Linked DNA regions of Schizosaccharomyces pombe. The gene in region 3 interacts genetically with the main gene of each other region. Each region holds a gene or a part of one and is shown on either strand. Other genes may lie near its edges. The genes, in order: spn4, spn1 and art1.

The links.
Region 1: mutations in art1 (region 3) and spn4 impair growth when combined (synthetic growth defect), as found in Schizosaccharomyces pombe (one study listed by BioGRID).
Region 2: mutations in art1 (region 3) and spn1 are lethal when combined (synthetic lethality), as found in Schizosaccharomyces pombe (one study listed by BioGRID).

What each region holds. Positions count from the first base shown.
Region 1 is NC_003424.3:1,991,374-1,995,132, reverse strand, and holds spn4 (mitotic septin Spn4), read left to right. Parts: upstream 1-2,051; 5' UTR 2,052-2,203; coding exon 2,204-3,346; 3' UTR 3,347-3,651; downstream 3,652-3,759. Other genes in the region: tRNA (m1A) methyltransferase complex catalytic subunit Trm61, read right to left, coding at 109-1,203.
Region 2 is NC_003424.3:4,850,908-4,854,666, reverse strand, and holds the start of spn1 (mitotic septin Spn1), read right to left. Parts: upstream 1,628-3,759; 5' UTR 1,582-1,627; coding exon 1,402-1,581; exon of another isoform or gene 1,365-1,401; coding exon 768-1,364; intron 723-767; coding exon 90-722; 3' UTR 1-89. Other genes in the region: mannan polymerase complex subunit Mnn9, read left to right, coding at 3,346-3,759. UniProt on the Schizosaccharomyces pombe protein: Plays a role in the cell cycle. Involved in a late stage of septum formation leading to the separation of the daughter cells.
Region 3 is NC_003423.3:2,364,120-2,367,878, forward strand, and holds the start of art1 (arrestin-related substrate adaptor for RhoGEF, Art1), read right to left. Parts: upstream 1,695-3,759; 5' UTR 1,612-1,694; coding exon 160-1,611; 3' UTR 1-159. Other genes in the region: SUMO deconjugating enzyme Ulp1, read left to right, coding at 2,998-3,759.

The DNA.
Region 1 (3,759 bases), on a different chromosome or scaffold from region 3:
TAATATTATTTTTTGTACCCTGTATGTCATTTACCGTGCCTGTGTGTCCTTTGGAGTACTTCGGCCTATTTTCACTAAATTTCTGTTTTGCATAAATATGAAAGTTATCTAAGGGCCTGTCTCCTGGTTCTGTTTATCTAGCTGAGATGGCAAATGCACCGCAAATAGCAAATAACTGGTGTGTGATTTTAAGTTAGAATCAACTCTTGCAACATCTGTCCATTCGTAATTTCCATCACCTTCTCTAATGCGTTTGTTAGTAACGGGCTTTAACGCCGTTTCTGTGGACACAGAAGACTTGTTTTCACCAAGCATTGAATCGTTATCTTGATCTTCTACCTTCGCATCAGAAGATAAGTTTTGTTCACGCCTCATTTTTCTTCTCTCAAATCCTTCGATCCTCCTTCTTTTAACCTCTTTTAGCCTATCGATTGCTTCGTCAATATGAACAATTCGACTCTTACGAGCAGCCCATTGCTTATAATCAACTTCAATCATTTCAATATCACACCAGCCAAGTTCTCGTAGTGCTTCAGCAGAATGTTGAATTTGTTCTATACAAGGAGAAAAACAACAAATTCGAGTGCTTTTATCATGATTTACATGATTCGAAAGATGCGGTATTGCTTCCCAGGGAGCTGGAAGGTCTAAAAATATAGCGTCAACCTTTACCTCCGTATCCAAAAAACCATCTTTGCAGACATCTCTATGAGTTAGATGAGTATTTCCACCCACATCAATTAACATCTCGTGTTCCCGAAATTCTTGTAACGCTGTTTGATAGCGAGTTGCGTGATATTCGAAAGTAAATAATCTTCCAAGAGGGCCGACTGTTCGCGATATTGCGTGTGACATGCTAGCACTACCAGTACCAGCTTCTATTACTCGGGTTCCGTAAGTGATACGAAGCTTTTGGTGGATTAAAGCAATATCTGGAGTGTAAACAATTTGTGTTCTGTGAGGAAGAGCGAGGGTCCATAGTTCCGGAGTTGGTTGAAGAAGGTAAATAAATCCTTGCTTCGCTGTAGATGCAATTTGCTCGCCGTACCTTTTACCAATCATTTCGGAATGTGGGAAGGCACCATATTGATTATGAAATGTTTTTTCAGCTTCTATATGTAAAGGAATCAACTTGTTCCTACCAATCCAAGCTACTGCCAAATCGCCATTTTCAACACGTTGTTTATAGTCTGCAAATACCATTATAAATTTCAAAAAAACATATAATATATATATATATATATGTATTACGAAAAATTAGAAGGTAGTGTTATTTAATTGCGTTTTAACAAATCAATATAATTAGCCAAAGAAAAATTGGGACTTAATTTTTCGTTGGTCTAAATTACCGGGTGCATTCACGATTATTGAAGAGTTAATAAAATAAGTCAGTGTGAAGTATATGAAGATCCGCTCAAATCTGTAATTTTAAATCATACAAGACTGAAGTAAAGAAGTTTTTAAAACTAATGTGTTGAGATAAATTTTTTTAGTCTTTTCAAGATATTATGGTTAACCTATCCCTACGCCCACTATGCTATTATTTTAGTTAACATTTGTTTAGTGTAGCCATGTTTCATTAGTTAAATATTAATAACGATATCTCACATTAACTCTCAAAGCTACGAACGTAAAATTCGTTAAATAATTTAGAAAATGCTATCAATGCTGCCGTTAATTACTATGCTGCCACGAATTAACTTTACACTGCAACAAGTTAGTACTTGTATATCAACTAAAACAACGATTTTGATCATCATATTACCTGTGTAGTAACTATTTTCTTGAACAATATAATGAACATTAAATCAATAACTTAAATGCATACTTCCCAGCAATCTATTTCTGTTACGTAGTATAGAGGTTTTTATATATTTGCCAAGCATAATTTCTGGCATTCAGAATCTTTATGAAATTTAATGAGCAAACTAGTAATGATAGTTAGTATATTTACGAGACGAAAGCCCGTTAAAAATATAATGAGGTATAGTGATCATATAGTTATATCGCTAACGAGTGATTGCAACGAAGCTTCGATTATCTATTTACTTAGACCTTCCGTTTTTTACCATTTATGCTTTAATAAAACTAATAACAATTCTCTTGCATTTTTTGGAAACTTTTTTATTTAGTTTGGAAGCTTTTAAGTCAATATTTTACAGACCGTTAAACAAAGGAAATATACTATTCATCTCTGCGCGTCATGAATGAAGAAGAGACAAACTTCGTTGGAATTGCGGATTTACCTAATCAGCGTCACAAAATAGTTTCACGAAATGGTGTAGCTTTCACTTTGATGCTTTGTGGAGAGTCGGGTCTTGGTAAAACAACATTTTGTAATACACTCTTTTCAACAACAATTAAATCACATATGGGCCCGGAAAAGGTTCGTGCGAAGCATGCTGAGAAAACGGTCGAAATAGAGATTACAAAAGCTGAGTTAGAAGAAAAAAATTTCCACTTAAGGTTGACAGTAATTGATACCCCTGGTTTTGGGGATTTTATCAATAATTCAGGATGTTGGGAGTCGGTAGTTGAATTTATAGAAGACCAGCATGAATCGTACATGAGACAAGATCAGCAGCCAGATCGTCGTAAGATCATTGATATGCGTATTCATGCTTGCCTATATTTTTTGCGTCCCGTAAGAAATGGTGTTCGGCCTATGGATTTGGAGGCTATGAAACATATTTCTAAGCGTGTCAATTTAATTCCTGTCATAGCTAAAGCCGATATGTATACTCGAAGGGATTTAGCTCTGTATAAAACTAGAATTTCTCAAGTTTTAGAATACCATCAAGTCAATGTTTATAAACCTAATATGGATGAGGGCGATCCCGTTTTTCACAGACAAATTCAAGGAATCATTAATTGCATGCCATTCGCGATTGTTGGAAGCGAAGATGACATCCGTACTCCTGATGGTAGGGTCGTTAAGGGTAGAGAATACCCATGGGGAATTGTTGAAATTGAGAACGAAGAACACTGCGACTTTAAACAGCTTAGGAATATTTTAATTCGGAGTTGTATGCTTGATTTGATTCAAACTACTGAAGAAAAGTTGTATGAGCAATATCGACAAGAGCAGATGAAAGTTCGCCAGTATGGAGAACCTAAACTGCGGACTATTGATAATGCGAAATTTAAGGAAGAAGAAGAAAATTTGAGAAAAAGATTTACAGAACAAGTGCGCGTAGAAGAAACTCGATTTCGACAATGGGAACAACGCTTGATTGCCGAACGCGACTCATTAAATAAAGATTTGGAAGCTCAGCATGTTCAAATAAAACAAATTGAACTTGAAATCGAACGACTAAAGGCGGCTACCAGCTCTCGCAAACGTTAGAGATAATGTTAAAATATAACGAAACTTGATACCCAATTATCATTTGGGTTTGTTTGCTAGTGAACCATACTATCATCTTTTATGGTCCTTCATTTCTAATACATAATGTCAAACGTCTATCTTGCCTCCCGTATAAATTACATTCTTTAGACAATCAATTAACTATATGATTTTATTTTATTTTTTCTATGCCTTTATACACTCTTTTATTGTGGTTTTATTCAACGTATAGTACATATGCTTTCATAAGTTGCTCAATTTTTATATAATTTTGATATCGAATAAATTTTCTGTATCTTATAAAATTTCTTGCATAAGTACTTAAAATTTCTCGTTTTGTGTCTTTCTGAAATAAAATTGTGCAATGTGTGTTTATAGTCAATGCTTAATAATATGTTACAAATATTTAGCTA
Region 2 (3,759 bases), on a different chromosome or scaffold from region 3:
ATTGGACTTTAAGTAGTAATTAAATAACAAAGAAGGAGATAGCAGTAGAACTGCGGTGTCATACAAATAAATATCAGCTAGTAAGGAGACTATTTAAAAAACTTCCTTTTACTCTTCTCATTTTCGGCCGCAGCTTTAGCTTGCATTAACCGATTTTTGTGATCAATTAAGTCAGCTTTTTGCTTCTCCAATGCTGCCTTCATTTCGCGATGACGGGTACGTAACTCGTTTTCAGATTGTTTAAGACGATCTTCTTTTTCTTGAACCTTCTGAGAAAAAATGGTTTTCATTTCTGCTTCCATTTTCATCAATTTCTCTTCGTGTAAGGCACGCTCCTCTTCGAGTTTAGCACTAGGGTTGACTTCACGAAAAACGGAGTGATCTTGTGATATTCCGCTGCTAAGCAACCGTTCAGTACGATACGCTTCATACAGCTTATTTGTCTGTTCTTTGAGTTCTTCTAAGTGTGTTCGAATAAGCATTTCACGAAGCTTAGGGAAATCAGAATGCTCTTCATTATCGACTTCAACAACGCCCCATGGGTACCGCCTCCCGCGGACGCGCTTTCCTTCATTGTTGACCACGAATGTATTAGAAGCAATTATAGCAAAAGGTATTCTACTCATGATGTCTGCATTTTCTGCCACTGATTCAGGATCATCGGTCTCATATGTCGGAGGGAAGAAAATTCTGATATTGTGGTATTGGATATCTCTCAAAATCTATCATTTTTTCATTAGCAACTTTAAATCAAGATTAGGGCTTACCATTTCCTTCGTAAAGTTAAGTTCATCATCCGTTAGTGTATCGGCTTTCGCAATGATGGGTATAATATTTACTTTCTCGTGCAAAGCCAACATAACTCGAAGCTCCATAGCACTTATAGCATGACCAGTAGGCTGAATAAAAAATATACAAGCATGAACTCTTGGATCTTGAATAGTAGATCGAGGATTGTGCTTTTCAAGCTCAAGATATTGATCATAGCGACCCTCGATATCTGTCAAAACTGGTTGCCAACAATCGGTGTTGTCAATAAAATCGCCAAAACCGGGTGTATCAATTACATTTAATTGAAGACTGATACCATTTTCCACTATTTCAACTGCAGAAGAGTTGATCATAACAGTGGGTTCTGGGTTCACTCCAAAATCCCCAGTTAAAGATTTCTGGGTCGGTGGGTAAACATCTCTATTCAATAGCGTATTCACAAGTGTAGATTTCCCTGAACCGCTTTCCCCTAATACTAATACGTTGAAATTAAAACCTTGACGAACACAACGACGATGCCATTGATTAGGAAGACTAGCGAATCCAACGTATCCGTTCAACTGACGCTGGATTATACTAACGTGCGGATTGAACTAAATATTAGTAAAGGAATTTTAAATAATTGATTACCTCTTGTTCAGAATTATCCTGAATGGGTTTTTCTTCATTCTTGTTTTCTGAAATGGCTGCCTCAACATTTATTTGCGTTACATTATCTGTAGATGTGAAAGAATCAACGTCGGAACCCCTGCTTCTAGTGGAATCATCTTTAACTGTAGGCATACCATCCGCGAGTACCATTGACGCCATGTCAGAAATTATCGAAAACCCCCGTGTTGGTGGTTATGTATGTGATGAAGAGTGTAGCTAGGAGCTCGAGCATGAACATCTATTTGCTCAAGTAGGAAATTAAACTTAACCAATTTTTTTCTTAATTATGTTTCACGAAATTATAGAGCTTTTTTGAAATTTCTTAATTCACTGTCGCGTCGAATTTAGGTCCTTAACCTCGAAATATACACGGCTGGGATGCATTAAATAAAAAGATACTAAACATTGTTATTCCATTGTTTTAGTTGTCTTGTTAATTTTACAATTATTTTTTTTAACAATTGGATAAATCTAATGAATTAAAATTATCCATTATCTGTATTTGTTTAAAAACATTTTTTGACCTTTTATTTATACCTAAATTATTTGTTTGAATACCCTTTCAGCATGCAATCATCTAAATCTTTTGAATTTAATTTAAAATATTTATTTTTCTATTAATATAGAACCTTGGGCAGTAGTCGTTGAATTGAGCATTAATGCAAATCCAATTTATTGCACAACTGATTATTTATTCAATTGAACTTGTACGTCGACAATGTGACCCTCAACGATTTTAAAGATTTAATTATTAGACATAAAACACAGTTAGAAATTATTGCCTGGCCAACATTTTCATGCTAATAGATGATTCAGAAACAAATATCTATATTTCTTTTCCTACGAAAAAGTAAGATCAAACTAAAACATTAGAAGCTTGTTTACCGTATATTTTTGATCTTAAAGGACTTTTAAGATAAATTTGAACTTATTATAAATAATAAAATGTTAAAAAAAAATTTAACATAATAGGATCATTTTTACTAATTAAATAACGATTATATTAGTCTTTATAACAGCGTTTACAGTCTCCGAATTGCAGTATAAGCTCTAAAACTCAATTGAATAAAGGCATTTAATAGTCAATCATTGTTTTGTTTTCCTTCTAGCTATTTCAGCTCTTCTTGCTATCAAAGCACGGAATGACTTAACGCGGTGTTGTGTGGCTGGTATCAGAGAAAGAATAACTCCAGTAAAGGTACGCAAGCAATCCCAGTATGTCGTCGTTAAAACTATGAATATAATATGTCAAAAATTAATGTGAAAAGACGTTAATCAACACAATATAGAAGTACGTGTCTTATATTAAGAAATCGAAATATCTATAATTGAATTTAATAACGAAATCTTGCGTGACTACGCTATTAATTCTAGTTGTTATGAATACAGATGGGATCAAGGTAACTGGTATTCACCTCCTTTTCGACGTAACCAGAGCCACACATTATACTGGACAAAGGCGTTCTCTGGCGGCGGAATCGAACCAATATATAAGAAAACACTCAAATTCTGGGTTTATTGGAGGAAATTTTTTATTTTAAAAACAGTTTCTTTTACTCGAAAAAGCGTTTTTAATACTTCTTTCTTTGGCTTTGTTTTTACTCGATAGGGGCAAAACCTGTACAAGCTTGATTCGTGAACGTACGACATAATCCTTTGTTTGTATTAATGCTTAAATTATCTTAAGTATTTATTAACGGGGTATTCACTAGTTGAAATACATTTATATATATAAGGTGTTACTTTCGCGACTACAGCTGTTAGCCGTTGCTTTTTTAAGGAATTCGCATAATTATTTAAGAACTCGATTCTGTTTAGACCCACAAAACAACATCCAGATTCGGGTTGATTTTAATTTTTAACTCTCTATTTTTATTACTCTTATTAAATTGTGCCCTTCCATTTTTATTTATAAACTTTAAGATGCGCGTGTACAATAAATCTAGAATTGTAGGGCAGCTCCTTTTTGTGGCCCTCGGTATTACTTTCATCTATTACCTATTTACTCCATCTGTCAATTCAAATGCCAAAGTTCAGATTGAAAACCGTGGGGGGAATTCTTACGAAATATACGATATGAACAAAATTACGGAATCTTCCGATCCCATTCGTAACAAAGAGGAGGTGTTAATCTTAACTCCTATTGCTCGATTTTATCCACAGTATTGGAAAAATCTTCTTGAGCTTGACTATCCGAGGAATTTAATTTCTTTAGGGTTTATTGTTCCTTCGTCAAAGGACGGTGCAAAAGTTCATCGTGAACTTCGGAATGCTATCAATGCTGTTCAGAAAGGTCCAGGCGATAAGCGTTTTGCCGATGTTAAAATTTTAATCCAA
Region 3 (3,759 bases):
CGAGGGACAAATAAATAAACAAAGTGGGTATTTAATTGCAAACCAAAGGCTTGCAAATATCGAAAAACACAGGGAAATACAGAGGTAAGGCTTATGATCAACAATATCGGGATTTACATTTGTAGTAAAGCACAGATTGAGCTTGAAAAATGTAACTTCCTAAGATAACAGGACAATGTCATCATTCAAATAAGCAAACATATTATTTTTGGAAAAATCTGAAGCTCGCACAATCCTAACGTTTTCTTCGAGGACAACGCCTCCGTGGCTTTGGCGAACGTCAAGGACTCGGGTTTGAATTTCATTAAGTAAGGCTTGACTTCGTGATCGTTCCACTGGGGAAACAATAATTGGGTTTGTTATTTCAATGTTTCTAGCACGATATAATTGTACTTTGATGACTAGCATGTATTGTACAGAGTAAAGATCAGAGGTGGTCGTGAATCCAGTGATATTTGCATCTTCAAAATCAATGTCGGGGAAAGGTTTAGAAAGGCTTTTCGATAAACCTTCCGATGTAAGTTTCATATCATCCAAATCTTCTTCGTAACGTAATACTTTCTTTTTACGAACTATTGGGCTTGAAGAAGAGGGATGTATGAACGTGATGTATTCAACCAAGGAAAGAGAAAGTTGCTGTACTCGTATTTTAGAACCATTATTAGGCATGATGGAAACGAAGACGGAGACGAGATCCGAAGGTCCAATACACAGTTTGGGTATTGATACCTCTACTACAACACGACCATCGCTACTCACTTGCCGAATATTAGTAGGGGAATTATACATCCCCCAAGAAGATAGATTATCATACCTGCTGAGTGACACTGGTACAGTGGTAGTAATATCCGGTACCCCTAGTAAACTCATGTGAGCACGTAGTTCATATTTCGTGGAGCATATTGTACCAGACCGATTCAATTCAAAAGTCGATGGAATTTCTGAATTTTCGGGAAACGGGATTTCAAAGGGAAGGTCCATTGACCATACCCTATGAGTAGCGTAAGGATCTGAAGAAGAAGAGAGTATAGGAGTTTGGTCACCAAAAGGAGTGATAGATGTGTCATTAGAGGAAGATGTGGTGGATACTGATCTAAACGGAGTGTAAGGAGGTTGATATACCGAAGATCCAGAGGCATTAGGAAGATGAGGTGGAGGGATAGGTGGAGTAGTACGGTTATGAGTATGAACAGAAGGATTATCCTGATCAGACGCATAAGAATCTACTATCCAATCGCTAGTAAGGGAGGGTGGAGGTGATTTGATAGACAAATCGCTGATAGAATAATTATTATCATTAGGAGGTATGTTATTTTCAGGATGCTCGGAATGAAGTGGAAACAAAACCTGCCTTGCCAGACACTTATTATCTGATAAGTGATTACTTATACCCAAGGATGGTATTACCACTGATTCAATTTTCCATAATTCTAACGTTATTTGAACCAAAGCCAAAGGTTGGTGAATTTCTTTACTTCGAACTTGGACGATACCAACCAACCTTGGAGCTGAAGTTGGTATCCCATTAAATCCAGCTTGGAAATCCAAATGTGGTAACGGACGTATCTCCAAAGGAGAAAATTGCCGTATTAGCGTACACGGGGATGTCATGCTCTTACATTTAGTGAGTTCCTCTGGCTTGGTGCTGGTTATGGGAAGTTGAATCTACCAAATGGTAGACAGGTTGGTTCAGTGCAGCAATGTCAGATCTAGATAGCTAAATAAAATCTTTTAAGCACTCGCTTAAACACTGCTAAGTGACTTTTTATAGCAATGAAATTAATAATATTTTATTATATAAAAATCTAATTTTAGGCCAAAAAATGTACTTTTGTTTCCATTCCATAGAATTAAAATCAAAAGCCTACAATTGATAGCCAAGCATCTAAAGCTAGTATCTGTTGTAAAAAAGTTCCATTTTGATTACAATAGTAAAAACTAAAATGACTTTAATAGCCTAATTTTGAAATTGGTATTTTCAACTTAAAATTCACTTACGAAAGCCTAAAATATGTTTATTCTTACAGCAGAAGGCTTTTTTTTTGAATTTTTGAATTTTTGAAACCATAACACACGATTGATCGCAACATACATATACGAAATATAGAAGAGAGACTGAATTCAAACGAAAACAATATAGCAAGATATCAGATTATTGAGCAGCAGAAGAAAGGGAAATAAAGCAAGTAAATACTATTTTACTAAAAATCAAACGAATCTCTAAAAGAACAGATATTTCACGCATAGTTAACAGACAATGCATAACAAAAAATTCAAAATCGAGAAAAACAAGAATCAAGAGCAACTGGTAATGCTAATTTTTGATAGTTATATGAGCCGTAGTATGATAAAAAACCCCGGCGATAATTGAGGAAATTCATTGCTGATGTACGACTCTTTTCTATCTAGGAAATAATGATTGTTTGAAGGATAACCTGAATATAGGGCTTTCTGTTCATTCAAAGATCCCTTCAGGAAGTGTTAAATGGTTTGTATAAAACTAACTCACATTTTCCGATTTATCTTTTCATTTTCAGGGCATATATCAGAACTTAAAACAATTTACTAGTAGCGATACGCTACCACTTACTTATTAAACGCTTAAAAGAGTAACACAGTGTACTGTCATGAATGTATATTTTATAAAAGCAATATGATATTTAATTTACATTAATATACTTGTAAGCTTCTCACGGCTAAAAGTAGTGATAGCCCACATTGAAGTAGGATTTTAGTGTAATGAAATCAAACACAGTAGGCCCTAAAGATAAACGGACACTTACATGTTAAGCAACATAATTTAAAATCTTACAAGCAAAGCTAGCGGCTCGAAAGCCAAACATTGTAATATAAACACAAAAAGTAGTTTGTTTACAGTAAATACCGCAATACTCGTATAACGAGGTATTTTCACAACGTAAGCAAGAACGCGCTCATCCTTCCAGGTTGTTGTGTGTCACAGCCTCTCGCGATTCACCCTTTACAATTCACTCGTGAATGATAGGAAAACGCAATGCGTCAAAAAGGACGCGTCAGGATGATTGTATTACATATGAAGAGTATCAAAGGAAACGTAAAAAGACATTTTTGAACACGTTTGTTAATATTTGTTCTCGTACAGTTACTTATGCAAAACTTTTTTTGACAAAAACTCCCATTTCTGAATTGGATCGCATCGCTGGCGAGGCGATACCATCTAATAGTAATAGTACAAATTCAAAACTAGAGCCTTCTACTAAAGCCCCTGAATCTCGGTTTTCTCACATAAATTCCAAGACTGAACGTGGTTACGTGACGGTCGAATCTGATATGTCTTCTCACAATACTCTTGACAGAAATAGTAAACCTACCGTTTCTCATTCATATACAAATTCTAGTAAGGATGAAAAATTTTTGGATCCCATTGCTCTTCAAAATCTATTTTCCCCTGCCTCTGACACGCATTCTCAAAACATCCATGACGAAGCATTATCTCCATCAAGCTTTCGTGTGTCTCGTTCGAGATACTTCCCCCGACCTCATCGGTCTTCCAAAAATTTATCTGTTAGTAATCGGTTACAGCTTGCGGTTTTTAAGGAAACAACTTCATCGACATTATCCCACGGTAATTCCGTTGAGGCTGACGAAATAAACTCTTTTAATCCTACACCTTTCTCTTCTTCTCCTCTGCACTTTACGAACTCCTCTCCAAATCCAAACTCTGACATTGTTACACCGGACAAGCAGCTAGATGTTGTTAGCGAACACGCCAGATATAAA